Linked DNA regions of Callithrix jacchus. The protein of the gene in region 2 purifies or fractionates together with the protein of the main gene of each other region. This does not show direct contact. Links are inferred from orthologs where the notes say so. Each region holds a gene or a part of one and is shown on either strand. Other genes may lie near its edges.

Region 1 (10,907 bases), on a different chromosome or scaffold from region 2:
GTTAAGAAGCTCTTTGTTAATATTAACAATATTCTTGGCACAATGATTTCCTTACCCTCTATGACAAGACCACAGCATCTACCAGCAAATTAACCTGATATGGAATACTTCCATCAAGATAGAATCCCACTGTAAAATTAACTTAGTTGTCAGAACTGAACACACAGACGGGCCAGGAATGCTGGCCTTGGGGGCAGGGACAGTGTCTGGCCAGCTCTCTCAAACAGTGGTAACAATGGTGACTTGCAAACACGGTATCCAACAGTGAAACTCTGAAGTGGTCCTACAGTCAGACACTAGACAAGTGCAACCAACTGCCACTGCTATTTTTACATTTTACCCTTGCTAGCAGTATGAGACAGGCCAGCTATTGTAAGAAGATTCTTGAATGAAAAGAAAAAAAATTCATCCTTATCATATTGATTTGAAACACATATAAACAAATATCCTAAATTATTATATATAAGCTCAGAGGTGCCTTGGTGTAGAGGTTCCCGTTCTTTTTTTTTTTTTTTTTTTTTTTTGAGACAGAGTTTCGCTCTTGTTACCCAGGCTGGAGTGCAATGGCGCGATCTCGGCTGACCGCAACCTCCATCTCCCGGGTTCAGGCAATTCTCCTGCCTCAGCCTCCTGAGTAGCTGGGATTACAGGCACGCGCCACCACGCCCAGCTAATTTTTTGTATCTTTAGTAGAGACGGGGTTTCACCATTTTGACCAGGATGGTCTCGATATCTTGACCTCGTGATCCACCCGCCTCGGCCTCCCAAAGTGCTGGGATTACAGGCTTGAGCCACAGTGCCCGGCTTCGAGGTTCCTGTTCTTAATTCAGGTCTTACATACTGGCTCCCAAAGAGGCTGCCTCACTACCTACCTACGCATTCTAGAGGGGCATCTTCTCTGCTCCACACCGCCCTACCCATCTCATCTAGGCAGTGGATCACAGGCTGGTACAGGGATAACACCTCAATTAGGCATACGAAAAAAGATGGCTTTGTTTTCCCTACTCTTTGCTATTAATGCAGTTCCACTACATATTGGCTATATTGATATATGTGGGAAAACAGTCTCCAACAGCATTCTTTTTTTCCTCTTTGAGCATAAAAACACTCTCTTGAGGAATCACAATAGTACCATTGCCCCTCAGGGGCAGACAGCATATACAGATAAATAGAAAGATGGTAAGTAGGTAGATTGTTTGCATGTTAGCTGCAAAATGAATGCAGAAGGCAGAAATTTACAAAATGAAAATCACTAGGCTGCTCTCGGGCCCTGACAGAGCACACAGCTCTCTTGGAGCCAGCAGCTTCTGCGGCAAGACCGCGTATTTTTTCAAGTTCCAAGCTATTTCACCACTGCTCCAAACCACCTATCTAAACAGGTATACTTTTATGTGTAGCTATGAAGAGCTTCTTCAAAGGTGGAAGAAATAAAGAAAATGTGAATTTCAAAGACTAAAATGCAAAGCAGTGCCTACAAGCTGGTTAGACATCGCTGTATACAGATGTTTCTCTGTACCAATTCTGTTTTGGGGACCAATATTCCTTCAAGAGGTCTTTGGAAATATACCATTCTCAAAATTATTACATTCTCACTCATTCCAGTTTTCCTTATTTTTCAATATGCAGACCAAGTTCTACCTCTAACCAAGGCTATTTTCTCCCTTCTCGAAGTCCAGATCCTCTGGGACCCTCTTTCCGGTCTGTGCTTGGATGACAACTTCAGACTCCCTGACTTTTGGATTCCAGGAGTTACCCTAGCAGCTTCCAAGGTTCTCATGCTATGGACTCGGACTGAGCCATGTAACCAGCATCCCAGGGTTTCCAGCTTGCAGCCAGCCAGCCTGTGTGGGACTTCTCAGTTTTCATAAACATGAGCCAACTTCCCTAATAAATCCCCTCTCGTATCTCCACATGCAATCATGCATCTTCTTAGAATCATTAGGTGATTTTGTTGTGTGAACATCACAGTGTTTAAACAAACGTAGATGGCATAGCCCACTACACACCCAGGCTATATGGTATAGCCTATTGCTGCTAGGCTGCAAACTTGTATAGCATATGATTGACTGAATACTGCAGACGACGGTAACTAACAATGGTATTTGTGCATCTACACATAGAAAAGGTAATGTTTGGTGTTAAGACCATTATGATGGCCACAATGTCACTAGGTGACAGAAATTGTTCAGCTCTATCATAATCTCACAGGACTACCTCCGTATATGTGGTCCACCACTCACCGAATCATGCAGTACATGATTGTGTGTATATATATATATATATATATACACACTATTGGTTCTGTCTCTCCAGAGAAACCTAATACATATTTGGTACTAGAAATGGAATGGGTCATACTTGCACCTCACCTTTAAAGGCCTGTTGGGACTTGGGTCTAGTTATAGGTCTAGATGCAAAGAGGGGTGGTGGGGATGGGTCCTGATGAGAATCAGCATTGTCTTGGCTGGGAACTAGCAATGTTTCAGAGGAGGCCATTACTATTTTCACAGGCAATGCAGAATCAATCCCCCCAGAAAGGGATGGAAAGGCTGATACCACTGTAGGTGGAAATGCTACTGCCCCTCTGGCAAACAAGACTCATCCGAATTTAGGGGCTCAATGTGTCCAGCCTCATCTTCCCACATAATCCCATACAAACTTGCAGAGATCTCACTCTTTCCCAACCAATACCCTCACTTTAACAGTAGATGCTCCGCGAGGCTAAGAGAGTTCAACTTTCATTGTGATATGCCAGTTGCACGATGAAGGCTTGTGTTTCATTTTCAGGAGTTTCAGCCCTGTGGCTACAGGATAGAAAACTCTAACCCAGGGCACACTTAGAAACTTTTAGGTCACTTATGTAGCGCTCCAGTCATGAAACTGAATCCCCGAGCTCATCCTTTTCTTTCGTCATGTTGTTTAAAGACACTAGGAGCAACCAACCAACGCCATCATAATCCTTGTTTTTCCAAAAATGTCTGAAAGTGTCACTCAATTATTTGCCTCTTCTAAGTGGTGAATTATAATGTCAAAGGCATGTATTCTGCATATCTATAAACAGTTCGAGTCAAGGGCTACCAGTGCTCTCTCTATGAGAAGTAGAGCCCTTGGCATTTTTAGGTTCTAATCAGATTAAAGAACCAGTTCTAAAAATCCCAATTAAGGAAACTCATCCTTAAAATTCTGTTCCCCTAGAACCATTCCTGGTACCAAATCTGTATTAGTATTGCTCTGTCTCTCTGGAGAACCCTGATCGATACAGCAATAACTTTAATTTTAGATATACAGTAGTCCACCCTGTGTATCTAAAACCACAGTGGATACCTAAAACCACAAAGAGTACCAAACCCCTGTGTATACTATTTTTTTCCTATTCATACATACCTGTGATAACGTTTAATTTATAAATCGGGCCTAGTAAGAGATTAACAGCTAATAATAAAATAGAACAATTACAGCAATATACTACAATGAAAGTTTTATGAATGTGGTCTCTTTCTCAAAATATCTTATTATATTGTAGATCTTAGCAACCTTAGAATAAGGTATTTTTTTCTTTCCTTACTAAGAACTTAGATCTTTTCACTTAAAGGAAACACCTTCATCAATTCTCTTAGGCATACTGGAATTGCCAGCATCATTACTCTTGTGCGTTGGGGCCATTACTAAGTAAAATAAGGGTTACTTGAACACAAGCACGGTGACAGTTGTTCTGAGAATCGAGACAGTTACTAAGAGACTAAGGGCAGAGAGCAAAGACAGCATGGGAACTCTGGACAAAGGAAGATTTGGGTGCTGGGTAGTACTGGACATCTGGAGATTTCATCACACTGCTGAAATGGCAAGCAATTTAATACTAATGAATTGTTTATTTTAAATTTTCATTTAAATTTTAATATTTTGGGAGACCACAGGTTAACTAAAATCAAGGAAAGTGAAACCTCAGATGGGGGGATTAACAGGAGTTTGAAACCTAAGTAAGGAAAGTCTAGCAGACAGTTGGAAAACCCTGAGGGAGATTTATAGATTTGGGAATTGTGACATGGTAACTGAAAATACCAGAAGTATATGTCTAAGATTTCAAGGGATGTCTCTATCTGCTGATATTACATGCGAAGTGGTTTTTCCACAGTGAGCTGAGTTTTTATCAAATTCTCATATTTTAAGACCACCAATACAGATGGTACCAATACACAGTTTGACTCTCAAATAACACACGTTTTAAATGTGTGGGTCCACTTATATGTCAATTTTCTTCACCCCCTACCACCCCTTATTTAGCAAAACCAATTCCTCCTCTTACTCTTCATCAGCCTACTCAATATGACGACAAGATAAAGACCTTTACGATGATCTAATTCCCCTCAATAAAGGCTATCTCTTATTTATGATTTTCTTAATAACATTTTCTTTTCTTTAGCTACTTTATTATAAGAATACAGTATCTAATACAGGTAAACATAAAAGAAGTGTTAATCAACTGTTTACATTATCAGTAAGGCTTCCAGGATACAGTAAACGTTTGAGGGAGTCAAAATTATATTCAGATTTTGAATTTCATGGGATTTGGTGCCCCAATCCCTGAGTCAAGGATCAAATGTAGATAGTAACAGAAGTCATGGGAGGAGTGAATGAACTCCCCTAAGAAGAATGTGTAGAGATGGTAGAAGAGAACCCGAATAACATCAACATATGGCCAGCTGCGGTGGGAAGAATGCTTGAGCCCAGGAGTTCAAGACCAGCCTGGGCCTTGTAGGGAGGCCTCCATCTCTAAAAATAAAAACTAAAAATTAGCCAGGTGTGGTGGCATGTGCCTATGGTCCCAGCTACTTGGGAGGCAGAGGCAGGAGGATCACTTTGGGAGGTCGAAGCTTCAGTAAGCCATAATCATGGCACTGCGCTCCAGCCAGGGTGACAGAGTGAGAGTCTGTCCCGGAGAAACAAACAAACAAAATCAACATGAAGGAATGGGAAGAGGATGAGGACAAGGAGAGGCCAGAGAAGCAGATGGAGTATCAATGTCAAGGAAACTCAAGGGAGAGTTGTGTCAAAACTACAACAGCTGATGGAAATGACAAGATTGTTCACAACCCAACAGCTGATGGAACTGACAAAATTGTCAGTTAGCAAGGTCTTCTTAGAGGTGTGCTTAGGGTAGGGGTCCCCAGGAGTGGGTTAGGTGGTAATAAGGGACGATCAAGTGTAACAGTGAGTGTAAATAACTTTTTCAAGTTTAGCTGTGAAGGGGAAGAGAGACAGTAGATGGGAGGGAATATGGGAGTGATCAATTAAGGGAGTGATCTTTTAAGATGGGGATGGATTTACAATGCAGTTTTAGTAGTGAAGAATGTATCATTTGGTTGAAACTTGGAGGTTCAACCCAAGTTTCTCCACTTACTATCTAGCCACAGGCAAGCCAGCATTACATACATCTCCAAGTCTGTTTTGGCAACCGTAAAACAAGAATAATCATCTTTTATTATAAAACACTGCTGCGAGAAATTAGGCAATGATCACAAACTATTTGGCATGGGGACCAGAATTAATGGCTTGGGAAATGTTTAATTACTAGTAGTTATAGGAAGAAAGCAGCAAAGAAATGAAAACTATGGGGAGAGGCTGGGGGCAGTGGCTCACGCCTGTAATCCCAGCACTTTGGGAGGCCGAGGCGGGTGGATCACCTGAGGTAGGAGTTCGAGACCAGCCTGGCCAACATGGTGAAACCCTATCCCTACTAAAAATACAAAAATTTGCCAGGTGTGGTGGCGCATGTCTATGATCCCAGCTACTTGGGAGGCTGAGGCAGGAGAATCGCTTGAACCTGGAAGGCGGAGGTTGCAGTGAGCTGAGATTGCGCCATTGCACTTCAGCCTGGGCAACAACAGTAAAACTCCATCTCGGGGGTGAAAGAAAACCCAGAAAGAAAGAAAGAAAAAGGATAAGAAAAAAAAAAAGAAAGAAAAAGAAAATACGAGAGAAATGGAAAAGGATGCATTTGTTAAGGGCCCTGAAAACTGCAGAGAGTAAAACTGCTGGTCGAGAACAAGAGTATAAAAAATCAGCTTTGGCAGGAAGGGGAGCCAAATCTCCTAAACATTTTCTCTGTCAAACAGGTGGGGAGATAATGTGCTGAACGGGAGCTGTGACGTGGGAAATATGAAGCGTGGACAAGGTTTTAAACGGCTGCAGTAGAGTAAAAGGATGGGAGAGGAGGCAGAAGAGAACAAATGATAGGTTGCAGAGGTACAGCTAGAGTTGGAAGAAGGAGAAAAACATGGATTTTCTAATGCAAAGTTGAGCAATTTTCTCCAACAGTGCCCTCAAGTTCCGACGTAAAAGGGAAGAAGACTGACACCACGTCTGCGAGCAGGCGCTGAAACCAGAAAGGCGGGAGAGCGCAGTTCGCAGCACGTGACGGGCAGCGCCTGGTCCAGGGGGAGCAAACGACCGAGACGACGACCCGAGGGGTTGGCGGCAGCGCGGGGAGGAGGGGGCCGGATCTGGGAGACCCCCGCCCGCGCCCGTCCCGTCCCGGCGCTTACCAGCAGGCCCTCCACGTTGATAGGGTCTCGGCACCGACGGCGAACTGTCTCCTCCGCCGGGTCCAGTAGGAGACTGGGCAACTTCCTCGCTGGCCGCTGCTGACTCATGTTGCCCAGCCGGGCGTCCCGCTCCCCTCGCACCCCGAGAGCTCTCCCGCCCTCTCGCGCCTAGCTCGAGCGCCGCCCCCCAAGCGCCGATTTCCAAGGGCCCAGCACTTAACGGGTCTGCGGCCTGCTCCGAGGCGCCGCCCGGCTAGGCCGTCCCGCCTGCGGGAAAACGCGCCACGGCTTCACGTGCCCTGGAGCTCCGGCCGCAGACGAGACAGGAGGAGGGAAACCCGCGCCTCTCAGGTCGCCTGGACCGCCATCTTCCCGCATGCGCACTGTACCGCCCCCCGCGCATGCCCTCCGCGGCCGGAACGCTCCCACGCAGCGATCCTCTCCTGGCTGCCGGAGCCTTGAAAACCCGGACCGCGGTGTTCACGGAGAGGACGGCAAAGGAAAAAGAAGAGGTGGAGCTGGATTTTAGAGGAAGGGGACGGGGGTGAGAGAATAGAAAGCAGCAGCCGGGGAAAACGCAGCGCCCGCCTGGAATTCTCGACGCTGATAACTGAAAGTTCTGAGCTGCACAGATGTTCATTTATTCTCTTTTTTAAAAAATAATTTTTTTTTGTCTCCCAGGCTGAAGTGTAGTGGTGTGGTCACAGCTCACTGCAGCCTCGAATCCCCAGGCTCAAGCAATCCTCCCACCTCAGCCTCCAGAGTAGCTGGGACTACAGGCGCGCTCCACTGCACCCAGCTAATCTTTCTTTCTCTCTCTCTTTCTTTCTTTCTTTCTTTCTCTTTCTTTCTTTCTTTCTTTCTTTTTCTTTCTTTCTTTCTTTCTTTTTCTTTCTTTCCTTTCTTCCCTTCCCTTCCTTCCCCTTCCTTCCCCTTCCTTCCTGCCTGCCTCTCTTTCTTTTCTTTTCTTTTGAGGTGGAGTTTTGCTTTCGTCACCCAGGCTGGAGTGCAATGGTGTGAGCTCATCTCAGTGCAACTTCCGCCTCCCGGTTCAAGCGATTCTCCTGCCTCAGCCTCCCAAGTAGCTGGGATTACAGGCATGCGCCACCACACCCGGCTAATTTTGTAGTTTTAGTAGAGATGGAGTTTCTCCATGTTGGTCAGGCTGGTCTCAAACTCCTGACCTCAGGTGATCCTCCTGCCTCTGCCTCCCAAAGTGCTGGGATTACAGGCATAAGCCACTGCGCCTGGCTAATTTTTAATTTTAATTTTAGTAGAGAAAAGGTCTCAGTATATGCCCCGGCTGGTCTTGAACTCTGGGGCTCAAGCCATCTTCCCACCTTGGTCTCCCAAGCGCTGGGATTTTAGGCATGAGCCACCACACCCAGGCTTCATTTATTCATGGCACAGGCTGGTCAGTGTTGATGCTTAGTAAATGTGGGTAACCAAACCTCTGTGGAATTGTTTTACTTCTCTCCTCCCTCCCTCCCTTCCTCTCTCCCTCCCTCCCTCCCTTCCTTCCTCCTTTCCTCCTGTTTGATGAATGAGTTATTGTTGACTTATTGTGTCAGGTAATGGGGTGGGTACAGGAGATATTTACTCATTTGAATATGCCATGGGTTCAACCTCCAATTTCAGTGGGGACAGATAAGTAAACAGAGCATGTTAATTAAGCTGGAGCTAGAAGGTGTGTTTTCAAATCTTGGCTGCTTCTACTTATAAACTAGAAGACCTTATTAGTCAGTTACTTAATCTGTCTGTGCCTCAGTCTCCTTGTCTGGAAAAGGCAAATAATGACAATACTTACTTGATAAGGTTGTTGTGAGGATTAAATGGATTAATGGACACAGGCTGCTGTGATTGGAACAGAGACCAGCACGTGTTTGAAATAAAAAGGCAATACACTGTGATATGTACGGGGTTGGAGGGAAACAATTGGTTAGACTGGGGGTTTTTACCCAGCCTGAGGTGGGCGAGGTGAGGCAGGGAAAGCTTCCCAAGGAAGCTGGTTCCCCACTAGACTATGAGGTCAGAGGCTTCTCTAATCTTTTTTTTTTTTTCTGTCAACCATACTGGAGGGCAGTGGCATGATCATAATTCACTGTAGGGTCAAACTCCTGGCCTCAAGTGTTCTCCCAGCTAAGCCTCCCAAGTAGCTGGGAGTACAGGTGCCACCATGCCTAGCTAATTTTTTTTTCTTTTTAACTCCCTACCTTAAGCGACCCTCCTGCCTCAGTTTCCCAAGGTGCTGGAGTTATAGGTGAGAGCCACCATGCCTGGCTTCTAATCTTTGTATCTCAATCATCTAGCACAGCAGTGGCAAATAAAACATGCTCAGTTAATATTTGCTAAGTAAATGATGAGAAAAAAAAAAAACCTAGCGGAGGTATTGAGGAGACGGTGTACTGTTGAGGAATGGAGAATTTCCCAGAGCTGTTAGAAATGGCCATTTTCAAGGCATTTATTCAGCATCTGCTATGTGTTTGGCATTCCTCATACTATTGCTTATGTAAATCTCATATCAAAACTGAAAGATAGATATTTTTCTGCCCAATTTACAGATCAGCAAAATTAAGATAGGCAGAATTACAAAAATTTACCAGGTCCTAGGTAGGCAGTGGTAGAGGCAGGCTTTTTGACTCCACAACTGATTAATTCATTTGGCATTCAGATCTTTGGGAAGATTCTTGAAGGACTACTAGATTCTCTATAGCCAGAGATGGGGTTGGGCAAGTAAAGGTGGGGTGTGGATCAGGACGGGGGTAGCAGGTGCTCCAGGCTAAACAAAGAGCATGAGCACAGAGCTGGGGAGAGTCAGGGAAATGGCACAATCCTCACCTGTGACCTGGCTTTTCCCCGAGACATAATCTTTAGCACATTTTTTTTTTTAGACGGAGTTTCGCTCTTGTTTCCCAGGCTGGAGTGCAATGGCATGATCTCAGCTCACTGCAACCTCTGCCTCCTGGGTTCAAACGATTCTCCTGCTGAAGCCTCCTGAGTAGCTGGGATTACAGGCATGCACCATCACACCCAGCTAATTTTGTATTTTTAGTAGAGATGGGGTTTTGCCATGCTGGCCAGGCTGGTCTTAAACTCCTGATCTCAGGTGATTCGCCTGCCTTGGTCTCCCAAAGTGCTGGGATTACAGGCGTGAGTCACCGGGCCTGGCCTTTTGCACTTCTGTATGAGCATCTCTCAGGTGCCGAGCAGTAGGGTAGGTGTTGAGGGGAGGACTGAATCTGATGGGGCCTTACCTTGTTCCAGCCTGGTGGAGACTCATAATCAGAAAGCATAAGAACTAAATTAGAGTATGTCTAACACACAATAGCAGCACAACAGAGGAAGAAAAAACTAACGGAGTGAACTGTAAACTACAGGTGCCTTTTCACACGTCTCCCTGTGAGGTAGCTATTTCAAGAATACTCTATAGAAAGCCAGGTGTGGTGGCTCACGCCTGTAGTTCCAGCACTTTGGGAGGCTGAGGCAGGAGGAACACTTGAGGTCAGGAGTTTGAGACCAGCCTGACCCATCTCTACTAAAAATATGAAAATTAGCCAGGTGTGTTGGTGCCTACCTGTAATCCCAGCTACTCAGGAGGCTGAGGCAGGAGAATCACTTGTACCCGGGAGGTAGAGGTTGCAGTGAGCCGAGATTGCACCACTGCACTCCAGCCTGGGCAACAGAGTGAGACCCTGTTTCAAAAAAAAAAACAGAAAAAGAATACTTTGTAGAAGAGTGTACGGAGGCTCAGAGAAGTTTGCTCCAGTTGCATGGGGACTCGAATACCAGGACTTTAGCCATTATACCCTTGGCCTTGTCCGCCATGGTCTTGCATGGTATACAGTCACAGTTCCCAGCACAGAAATTCTAATATTTCCCAGTTCCAGCACTGTTTTTGTGTGTGCTTCCTGGGGCAAAATGGTGCTAGGGCAGAATGGGGCATGCGCTTTGGGACTTCTAAGTTAGGGCTGAAGGCTGTACTTCCAGGGCTTATTTCTGAAGTTAGGGATGAAATGTAGGCCAAGCACACAGGTGTGCTTGAGCAATGCTGACAGGCCTCACCTGTCAGAGGATATTTTACTTCCCTTCTGCTTGAAAATGTCCTCTCCAGAGGTCCGTGACGAAATGACTAGTATCCACTAGGGCTTTCTGTGATGATGGGAATGTTCTGCATTGTCCCACATGGCGGCTACTGCCCCGTGTGGCCATTGGCACTTGAAAATATGGCTGCTTTTTTTTAAATTTTAATTTCATTTCATTTGTAATTTAAATAGCCACATAACTAGCGGCTACCATATTGGATAGCACAGGCGAAGAAACTAAAATTGTGGTTATCACTGGGTCCAGTTGCTATGGTCAGAACGT
Region 2 (11,147 bases):
TCTTTGGAAAACATTTCCAAACCACAGATCCACCCAGCCGGATAACACTGCCTGCACCTCACCCTCACCCTCACCCTCACCCCCACTGGAGGGCTGGCTTGCAGGCTTTATCATTGCCTTGTTAACTGTCTTCACTTGCTGGCAACCCTTTTTGAGAGGGCCAAGATTTCAGAGTTGAAGAAGAAAAACTGGGTGAAGACTCCCAGTGTAAGGCATCTAGTATCCTCCCACAATACTGGTTTTAAAAAACGGGGCCAAACAATCGTCTTGAACAAAAAAAAACTCTACTCAGATGAGCCTGTACTGAGAATGATGTTTAATAATAAAAACGAATGGTACGAAAAGCCCCTTTGTGGACTTAATTAGGCCCTATTCTAGGAGACAACAGAGGTATTCCTGGACTATACAGCAGACTCCCCTACACATCCTATGGGAACAGTGGCTCCACGCTGCCTGCTCTTCAAGTATACTGGATTTGTATATATCGACTTCTGCCAGAAAACCCTTCCTCCAGGGCATCCCTAACAGAAACACTAAGGGGCTATACAGTGATCCACAGATGCTCAACAGACACTCCCACACCAAATCACTTCCAGCTTTGACATCTCTGCCAAGGTTTTTATTCAGCCTCTCCTTTACATTTCTACCCAACTTTCCACACTGGTAGCCAGAATAAAAATCTCCACCTACAATTTGTCCACCTTTGACACTACCAAGCACATGTATCTTAAATGTTGTTAGATGTTGAAGGCAAACATTATTTTGTTAGCCAAGAAGTTGTTACACTAGCCAAGAAGTCATCTAAACTAAGGAGGTCTATTCAAAATTGAGGGAAATCTCTTAAAATTATTTCCTTCCAACTTCCTGCACAGAGACTGCATCTTTGTTCAAGGCATCACATCAGTCAGTAAACTTATTTCCTCCAAGTTCTAGGCAAACAGCATGGGGAAACAAATGGCTCATTATTCCAGGATGCACAAGGTTCTCCAGAACAATGCTATGTCTTGCAGGCTACCTGACAGCTAACCCTACCTATAAGGGGAATCATCTCAATTCTAATACGGAAAATTCTCAGCATATAGAGAATTAGTTGCTCATGAAATATTTACTATCTTTACAAAATGTGAAGGTTGTATTATAGAGGGAAGCTAGTGTTGCTCTTGATTCCTATCAAGCTATTCTCATTAGAGATTAAGGATAACTGAGAATACACAGGCCCAAAATTCTCATCAGAAAAGATCTATTTCTTACTTCTGTTAGATAAGGATCAGATAGGATAAAGTTTGATTTCTAAGCAACTTAAAATATTCATTTGAATCAACCCCAAAATTATAAAAGAATGGGCAGCCAGAATGGGATAAACTCACCAAGCTCCCTAACAGAAAGACATCAATTTTAATTTTCCAATACCTGTCCTGCTTGTAGCTGATTACCTGGTATATATTTCCAACATTATCTAATATATGTATTTGTTTTCAAAACTTTTTTCATTTGGTGCCTAAAAGAACTGTGGAATGCTCTTATCCAAACAGGGCCTCATACTACAGCCATTTCAGAGAAGGATGCCTTGGTTAGGAAATTTTAATTAAAAACCAAGTTGAATTCTTTGACCAACTATTTCACCATTACTGGCATCTTGAAAAAATTCTTTTAGACATAAGACCAAGTTTTACTCTAACATAGGCACGTTTAGGAACTAACTTTGGCATTTCTGTTTTCACTGTCAACACTCTAAGCAGAGAAAAAGTACATGCATCGTGCAGCCCTTCTGCCATGCAACTGACTGCAGGTAAAACAGACTGAAGGTTCCTGAGTGAATTCCAATCTCAAAGCAGACCAAGCTTGTTCTCTCCTGAATTCCTAAAGAAGCAAAGAGCTCTACAAAGTTAAACATATTTCATACCAATAAAGTCCAGAAGTGAAATTGCATAGATCTGTTTTCAAACCCCTAATAGGTATACTGCAACTGCAACTCATTCAGATGCCATGAAGGACGGCGGCGATTGGAAAAAAAAAAACTTGCATTTCCTGACCAACACATTAACCCATACATTTCTTGTATATTTTCACTCTTTCCTAAAGAAATTTCCCAAACGGAAATAAAGCAAAAGGAAGTCCTTGCATATAATATATCTGCCCCAGAAATTTATCTTTAAAATACAACTATTTCCCTCCAAAATATAATAAAAATAAGATAACATCAGTGGGATTCTGTGATGTGTCGAATTTAGCAATAAGAATACTCTTTGGGATTACTTCCTTGGGTCATTGGAGAAGCTGTTTTCCATTTGTACTGCAACATAAAAAAATATTTGCCAAATCGGTTTCACTTTCTGTTAGAGTTAGCCTAACTTCCTAACTCTGTTCTCAGTATCTTCCATTTCTCATGCAGTAAGGCCTAGATATCATAGCAACATTAGAAAACACACATGAATGTTTTTCTATTAGGATCCACAGAACCTTTTTCAAATAACTTTTTTCAATTTCTTCTGTAGTCCTAAATACCTAAGCATTTGGTTGTTCACAGTCCACATTTTTTTTAAACCTTTTTTCTAAGGCTAAACTTAAGAATGGTTTTCTCCCAAATTAAAAAATATATCTATTTATTATCTATATTAAATCTTGAGAAGTAAGCAGATGCATTCACAGAGGGGGAAAAATGGAATCCTTTTTACCCTACACATTCACAATAGTTGTTTGATATACTAAAAAATCTGTCTAACACATATGCTTTTTCTCTCCATGCTGTTATAGTTATACTATGCGGGATAATACTTAGAACTCTCAATAAATAGATGTGTTAAATTAAAAACAAAGTGTCAAACCAACTTCCCTTGCCTACCCTCAAAATCAAAAGGAAAAATTCTAGGCACCTTAATAGCAAACTAAAAATATCTAGACAAAACAATGAGATTAGCATTCCAGGAAAGCCGAAACACAGCAATAATTTCATAAACAAATTTACATCAACACTCATGTGGACAAATATTTTGAAAAGCAGAAGCTTTCAAGAACTGTGAACCAAAATGTCACCAAAAAAAGAACCCTTTTCTCTTACTGGGAAGTCAATATAATTTCAATTCAAAGGATAATTCTGCAAAGGAGGCCTAAACGATCCTTACCCTCCAACCCTGATTAAGCCCTGGCAGATTTTACAACTGGAGACTTGCAGGGGAAAAAAAAAAAAAAGTTTTAAAAAGACTAGGCCCCAAACATGAAGAGTAAAAGTAAATTAAAAAAAGGAATTCGATTTTCAAATATATGTATATGAGAATACTTCAAAGATAAATAAAACAAAACAAATTATTCTTAATGACTATTATCCAGGGATAATTTTTAAGACTTCTGGAACAACTACATCCTCGGATCTTATGGAAATATCAGCTCTCAATAAATAAGTTTTCTTAATACCCATCTGCTTAGACAAACTGTACAATCTTTGCTTGCTCTAATGAAGAGCAGGTACAACCGAGATGGCCTGCCTTTATCGTGTGGTTATTAAGTTCTTATACCAGAGGCATCAAAGTAAGATCCTGCAAATTCTAACAAGCCCCCAAAGAGTTGTTCCACACATATTAAAAATCAGAAAAATGAACATATAAAGTTTGGATTTCTTTTTTTTTTTTGAGATGGGGTCTTGCTCTGTCTCCCAGGCTAGAGTGTAATGGCTCATTGTCACCTTTGCCTCCTGGGTTCAAGCAACTCTCCTGCCTCAGCATCCAGAGTAGCTGAGATTACAGGCACCTGCCACCATGCCTGGCTAATTTTTTGTATTTTTAGTAGAGACAGGGGTTTCACCATGTTCACCAGGATGGTCTTGGACTCCTGACTTCAGGTGATCCTCCCACCTTTGCCTCCCAAAGCGCTGGGATTACAGGTGTGAGCCACCATGCCTGGCCATCTTTCTTAAAAACAGGAAGATCTGGCAATACTGATCCTGCACTCCTACATAACAAACCACTGGAATTTAGTAGTGGCTGACTTTTTAGAGGAGGCATTGCCCTCCAGTACCCCAAGTCTTCACCTCTTCCCTCTTCTTTACTCTTGACAGCCCCCCATGAGCATTAGAATTTTTTAACCCCTATTCTATACACTTCTTACTGTTCCCAACTGTCAAATTTTAGACACTCTGATACACTTCTCTTCCCCTCTCTGATTCTGATTTATTCTATGTGTATTATTTTTTCCCTCTAATCTATTCATGAAACACCCTTATTACTGTCTCAGACTCCAAAGACATGAAATTAGTCTTATCTAAATCCACAGAACCATCTACTGAGAACATTAATATCAAAACCCTAAGAAATTATTGATAAAATTGCATGGTTTCATCACCTTTCAGCAAAGCTGTCTCTGCAGTGCCACTTTTCTTCAACTATTTTTTAGTTTTCTTTATACCTCTTCTTCAAATACAGAGTCAGACCATAACAACCGTATGTGACACTCTCATGATGCAACCTTTGGCTCTTCTACATTTCCAATTTTTGCACTAAAATACCATGTTGTGCTAGATTCTACGGGTCTACAGCAGTCACATGACTTGGTTAAAGGCGATTATTACATGTGGCTTCAGCTTCACACAATTATGCAGATATGGTTTAAAACCTACCTGGTCCTAAGTAAATCTTCTAACCACTTTGCCCTTAAGTAATACTACCAACGACTTCAAAATGCTGCATTTCTCATTTCCACTTATATAGTGGCAGCTGAATCCCCTATCTGAAAACTACAGAACAATTCAATTCTTTGCATACAGCTCCTCTCAGTCACCTAGAGTCACTGAACTTATCACCTGAGCATCTAGAATTATGGGATCTGCAACACCCCCGCCCTCCAGAACCAGGCCCCGCCTCACCTTAATGGTTAACATTAGGGTTTACTACCATATTAAAAGTAATAGAACGATCTCTTTTTCTCTCTGACCCCAAAAAGAATAGAACTGAACGGAAATAAAAATGAAATGGAGAGTAGGAGACGTACCGCAGATTGAAACCTCGGTTGCTCTTCCTGGAATAAGAGAGAAAAAAAAAATAGAAAATATAGAAGTTATTTTTACACTTAACATTCAGTAATAAGAAAGAAAATGCCGGCGGCAGAGGAAGCGGCGGGTGGGGAGTCAGCCCGACACCCCTTCCTCCCTCCCCACCCCTTGCCCCCACCCTTCCACCCTCAGCGGGATCCGGTAGCAAGGTAGAGGGGTCCCGAGCGCCGCCCCTCCTTCCGGGATCCGACCGGGGCCAGAGGGGTCCCGAGCACTGTCTCTTCCCTGCAGACCCAGCTCGGGCATCTAGGCACCCTCAACCCCTCTCCGCCCTTCCTCGCCCCCCAGGATCCGCGGGTCATGGGAGGAGAGAATCGCGATCCGAAGGGGCAGTTCCTGAGCACAGTCCCCTTCGCCTGGATCCGGACAATGGGATCCCAGGCGCCCCCCATCTTTGTCCCCCGAATCCTGACCGGGGGAAAATGGGAGGGGGAGGCCGCAGCACCCTCCCTCGCCGGAGAAGGGAGGGGTCCCAGAGGCCGCGTGTCTTTCCCCCACCTCAGTCCCAGGAGGCCGCTCCAGCCAGGAGCCGGAGCGGAGCGAACCGGGAACGCGACGCAGACAGTCCTGGCCCCAAGGGGAAGGGGAAGGATGCGGCGGCGGCCCGGTCCCCTCCCGCCGTCGCCCCGCTGAGAGCCCCGGCCGCTGTCCCCGCCTGACAACCCGCACTGGAAGGAAGAAGCCCCAGGACTCACGTCGCTCTCCACCTCGATGTCATCGTTATCGCTCATTTCCTACGGCCCAGGAAGCGGCCACTGCAGCGGCGGCGGGGAGGGGAAGGGGTGGAGGGGAGGGGGAAGTCACCGACAACAACAAGCTGAGTCCCCCCCACACACACACTCACTCACTCACTCACTCGCTCTCTCACTCACACACACACACACACAACACGGGCGAGAACCACCTCCTCACTGCAGCACCGGATCAACGGCGGCACGCACGCCCGGTCGGCCCTCACCACGTGATCGGGCTCGTAGCGCTGGGGCCGCCGAGACTTGTAGTTCTTGTCCCTCTGACGGTCGGCCCGGGTAGCTCCAGAAAAACTACAAATCCCAGAAGAAACTAAATCCAGGCGACGCCAGCCCCGCTTGTTGACGGAGCCCAAGGCGCCTGCGTATCCGGGAGAGGGCGGGGCGGAGAGAGCCGCGGCGCGGTGCCTCCTGGGAGTCGTAGTCCGCAGACCGCGAGTTGTCAGGAGGTTTTCCTCCCGAGGTTGCAGAGGAGGCTGCTGGGAAGACAGGACACGTGGAGGGAGCTGGAGCTCCTGGAGCCGGCCACCGTCTGCGCGCTGGGCGCCGGGCCCAGGGGACTGGGTGGAAGCTCTAGGGGAGTAGCTGACTGTCTAAATAACGCTGCCTGTCTTTGGTGCGACCGGTTTTACTTTGCAGTCTTGATGTGGAGTGGTTTCGCTTTGCGTCTTGGGGCGTAACCCGCCCAGGAGGGAATCCGGCTGCGGCGGACCAGGGGGCACGGCTCCGGATACCCGCGCGAACCCTCGGGAGCTGGTGAGGAGGTGTCAGTGGCAGGTGTTTCGTGGAGTTACCGGACAGGCAGGATGACCGACCTCGCCGGGCGACCGCTCATAGCCGCAAGAATCCTGTATTCATTTATCCGAGAGTGACCATCCTCGACACTCCGCTACTCACGTGAGCTTCCAGCATTCACAGAACCCGAACCCTCAACCACCGTGGACTTGGAAGTAAAACCCCTTCAGAGTTTGTTGTGTAGCCCAGGCAGTTTAGGCAATATCCCAGCTCAAGTACCATAATTAAGATTGCAAAAAGGATCAATATGGGAAACTTGTGCAGCTCCCTGTCCAGTTAAAATCATATTTACATACTGTGGAGTAAAATGTAGTCACATCCATTCCACCAATATTTATTGAACACCTAACATGTGCCACAAGGGGATGCCATAACGGATAAGACCAGAACGATCCCTGCCTTAGTGTGGTTCACAGCTATGCAAGCAAACCTGACTGCCCTGCCGCCATTTTAGGAGTGCAACAAGTCCCATGGGAAGAAAAAAAAAAAAAGACACTTTCCACCCTGAGACAAAGTACCCGTACTACTCCTTTACATCTGATCTCCAAAATGAATGACATTTTGAGCTTTTCCATGAGTTACTGATTCCCGGATGAAAATTATATTATCCCTGACTTTTGAATGTGGAAATTTGGGGATATGTCGCACACAATTCTTGGGACATACATTCCTTTTGAACTTACCTTTTCTACGTGTTCCTTTCCTGCTGAGTTGGGGAGACAGACATAAGCAGACCATTATGTGATAAGGGCTGATGACAGACGGCCACTCTTGAGTGAGTTAATTAACTGGATACTAGAAGTTAAAGCTAATTGATTATTACAAGAAACCGTTGTTGAGTGCCTGCTATGTACAGAGCATTCTAGGACAATCCCGGCTCCAAGTTAAAATCACCCTAGGGGCTTTAAAAAATTCCCATTCCCAGGCCACACCCCAAACCATTTAAGCCAGAACCTCTGGAGGTGAGATCCAGACTAAAGGATTTTTTTTTTTTTTTTTCTTTTTGCAGGGGGCAAAGTCATGCTCTGTCGCCCAGGCTGGAGTGCAGTGGCTCCATCTCAGCTCTCTGCAACCTCCGTCTCCTGGGTTCAAGCGATTCTGCTGCCTCGGTCTCCCGAGTAGCTGGGATTACAGGTGCCTGCCATTACACCTGGCTAAGTTTTGTATTTTTAGTAGAGACAGGGTTTCACCATGTTAGGCTGGTCTTGAATGTCTGACCTCAGGTAATCCACCTGCCTTGGCCTCCCAAAGTGCTGGGATTACAGGTGTGAGCCACCGCACCTGGCCAGACTGAAGGATTTTTCAAAGCTCTTCTAGTAATTCCAATGTGTACCCAAGACCGGAATCACAGCTATAGATGATGCCAGAATAAATAAGATAGTCTCTCACTGAATTGTATGCTTCCAAAGAGTGAATTTTATGGTATGTCAATAATTATATTTCAATAAAACTTATAAAAGAATAAGATAAGCTTCACCCACATGGAATTTAAAATCTTACAGGAGTAAATTATCAACTCAAATAATTGTGATAAAGACAGATTATGTAAGTGTCAAATTGTTTGTACATGCAGTGAATGCTGTAAGAACTGAGGAAGGAGAAGGAGTGCCAGGTATGAGGTAGGGTTGGGGATGTCTTGGTGATCAGGAAAGTCTTATTTATTTATTTAGAGATGGATTCTCGCTCTGTTGCCAGGCTGGAGTGCAGTGGTGCCATCCTGGCTCACTGCAACCTTCACCTCCCATGTTCAAGCGATTCTGCCTCAGCCTCCGGAGTAGCTGGGACTACAGGTGAGTGCCACCATGCCCAGCTAATTTTTGTATTTTTAGTAGAGGCAGGGTTTCACCGTGTTGACCAGGCTGGTCTCGATCTCTTGACCTTGTGATCCACCTGCCTCGGCCTCCCAAAGTGCTGGGATTACAGGTGTGAGCCACCACAAGTGGCCTTATTTTTATTTTTTGAGATGAAGTCCCACTCTGTTGCCCAAGCTGGAGTACAGTGGCGTGATTTTCACTCATTGCAACCTCCGCCTCCTGGGTTCAAGCAATTCTCCTGCCTCAGCCTCCCGAGTAGCTAGGACTACAGGCACGCACCACCATGCTCAGCTAATTTTTGTATTTTAGTAGAGATGGGGTTTCATTATGTTGGCCAGGCTGGTCTCAAACTCCTGACCTTGTGATCTGCCTGCCTTAGCTTCCCAAAGTACTGGGATTACAGGTGCGAGCCACCACACCCAGCCTGGAAAGTCTTCTTAGGTTGTCAGTTCCATTAGGGTAAGGGCTGGGTCTGCAAATATTTTGCTTATCATGAATAAGGTGGACTGAGGTGAGGAGGAAAGCCTTTTCTGGTAGGGAGACTGGAGATTTTTACACATCTCCTTTTAGTAATCAATAGAATATGAAGACCTGTCAACCTGATTAACAGATCTGACCTAATAGACAAAACACTGCACCCAACAGTTGTAGAATATGTTATCTTCAATCACTCATGGAACATTTACAAAAACTGACCACGTTCTTAGCCACAGGCAACACTCAACAAGTTTTTTAAAGGACTTTAACGTTAGTGTATTCTTGGACCTATTGCAATTAAAGTAGAAAAATAACAAAAAGTTAACTAGAAAAGTCTCATATATTTGAGATTTAAGAAACTTTTAGGCTAGGGACAGTGGCTCACTCCTGTAATCCTAGCACTTTGAGAAGCCAACGCAGGAGGATCACTTGAGCTCAGGAGTTCAAGACCATCTTGGTCAACATGGTGAAATCCTATCTCTATGAAAAACACAAAAATTAGCTGGGCATGGTGGTGGGCTCCTGTAATCCCAGCTACTCGGGAGGCTGAGGCAGGAGAATCTCTTGAACCTGGGAGATGGAGGCTGCAGTGAGCCTGGGCAATACAGCAAGACTCCATCTCAAAAAAAAAAAAAAGTAAACTTTTAAATGACACATATATGCAGGAAAGAACGAGACAGATGAGAAGTTTTCTTTAGCGTTTCTTTGCAGTGTTTTTCTGATGTGAATCTAAGACCCCAAGAACTCATTTTCATCTACACCTGAGTATCTTTGGTAACACCCCAGGGGAGCTTATTAGGGCTGAGCTGCAAACACAGCTCAGGCCCCCCTCAGACCTACTAAATCAGATCTGCATGATAACATTATGCCCAGGTAATTCATATGCACATTGGAGTTTCAGCGCTGTGAGGAAGGGGGAGTGGAGTAGCAATTGTGTAAGCAGGCAGACTACTTCCATTATCTCTTTTTTTTTTTTTTTGAGATGGAGTCTCGCTCTGTCATCCAAGCTGGAGTGCAGTGGTGTGAACTCAGCTTACCACAACCTCCATCTCCCAGATTCAAGCAATTCTCCTGTCTCAGCCTCCTGAGTATCTGGGATTACAGGCGTGCACCATCATGCCGAGCTAATTTTTGTATTTTTAGTGGAGAAGGGATTTCACCCTGTTGGCCAGGCTGGTCTCGAACGCCTGACCTTGTGATCTGCCCGCCTCAGCCTCCCAAAGTGCTGGGATTACAGGCGTGAGCCACCACACCCAGCCTTCCATGATCTCTTTAACTCCTTTACAGTTTGGCTCCCATACTACCACTTGACTAAAATCACTCTTTTTCAGGCCACTAGCTACCACTTTATTGCCACATCCAAAGCCCTTATCTTATTTGACCTGATGGTGGCCGTCTATGCTGTTGACCACTCTTCTCTTGAAGGCCAAGAATCCCTGTGCTTTTGTTCTTCCCACCATCACTGTTTGCATTCCAGGGACTCTGTGGTTGGCACTTATCTCTCTGTCTTCCACCCTCTGCCTGTTAGGATCCTCTGTCTCCCGAGGATTTGGTGACCAGCTCTCTGATGGTGACCCCAAAACCATCTCTCTTTTTTTCTTTTTTTGAGATGGAGCTCCAGCTCTGTCACCAGGCTGGAGTGCAGTGGCATGATCTTGGGTCACAGCAACCTCTGCCTCCCAGGTTCAAGTGATTACCTTGCCTCAGCTTCCCCCCACCCTAACACGCCCAGCTAATTTTTGTATTTTTAGTAGAGATGGGGTTTCACCATATTGGCCAGGATGGTCTCGATGTCTTGACCTTGTGATCCTCCCACCTCAGCCTCCCCAAGTGCTGGGATTACAGGCATGAACCACCATGCCCGGCCTATATCTCTGTTTTTAGTTCTAGATTGTTATATGCGATCTATTTCTGGACACATCTACTTGAATTATTCCACAGGAAACTCAAAACACAAGGCTTGTGGATGAGTGACAGAAATCAAGTTTTTCTTTTCTTTCTTTTTTATTTCCTTTGATACAACCCTCAGGAGATCCTGAGAACATGTGCGCCAAAAGCAGGTTTTGATACAGCATTTAGAGTATGAGCCATTCATGTAAAATTGAGTGTATCTGTAGGAGCATATACATGTAGGGAAATATGTAGAATAGTACTAATCAACAACTTTAATAGCTGGTTGGGCATAGTAGCTCACTCCTATAATCTGAGCACTTTGGTAGCCGGGGTGGGAGGATTGCTTGAGGCCAGGACTTAGAAGTCAGCCTGGGCAAC

Evidence for each region.
Region 1: the proteins of MAX (region 2) and E2F6 purify together in Homo sapiens (affinity purification with mass spectrometry; 5 studies listed by BioGRID and IntAct, with this or other methods). This does not show direct contact. The link is inferred for Callithrix jacchus from reciprocal best matches to the Homo sapiens genes MAX and E2F6.

What each region holds. Positions count from the first base shown.
Region 1 is NC_133515.1:103,578,709-103,589,615, reverse strand, and holds the start of E2F6 (transcription factor E2F6), read right to left. Parts: upstream 6,930-10,907; 5' UTR 6,651-6,929; coding exon 6,543-6,650; intron 1-6,542. UniProt on the Homo sapiens protein: Inhibitor of E2F-dependent transcription. Binds DNA cooperatively with DP proteins through the E2 recognition site, 5'-TTTC[CG]CGC-3'. Has a preference for the 5'-TTTCCCGC-3' E2F recognition site.
Region 2 is NC_133509.1:99,767,485-99,778,631, forward strand, and holds the start of MAX (protein max), read right to left. Parts: upstream 5,955-11,147; 5' UTR 5,773-5,954; coding exon 5,737-5,772; exon of another isoform or gene 5,540-5,736; intron 5,008-5,539; coding exon 4,981-5,007; intron 1-4,980. UniProt on the Homo sapiens protein: Transcription regulator. Forms a sequence-specific DNA-binding protein complex with MYC or MAD which recognizes the core sequence 5'-CAC[GA]TG-3'. The MYC:MAX complex is a transcriptional activator, whereas the MAD:MAX complex is a repressor.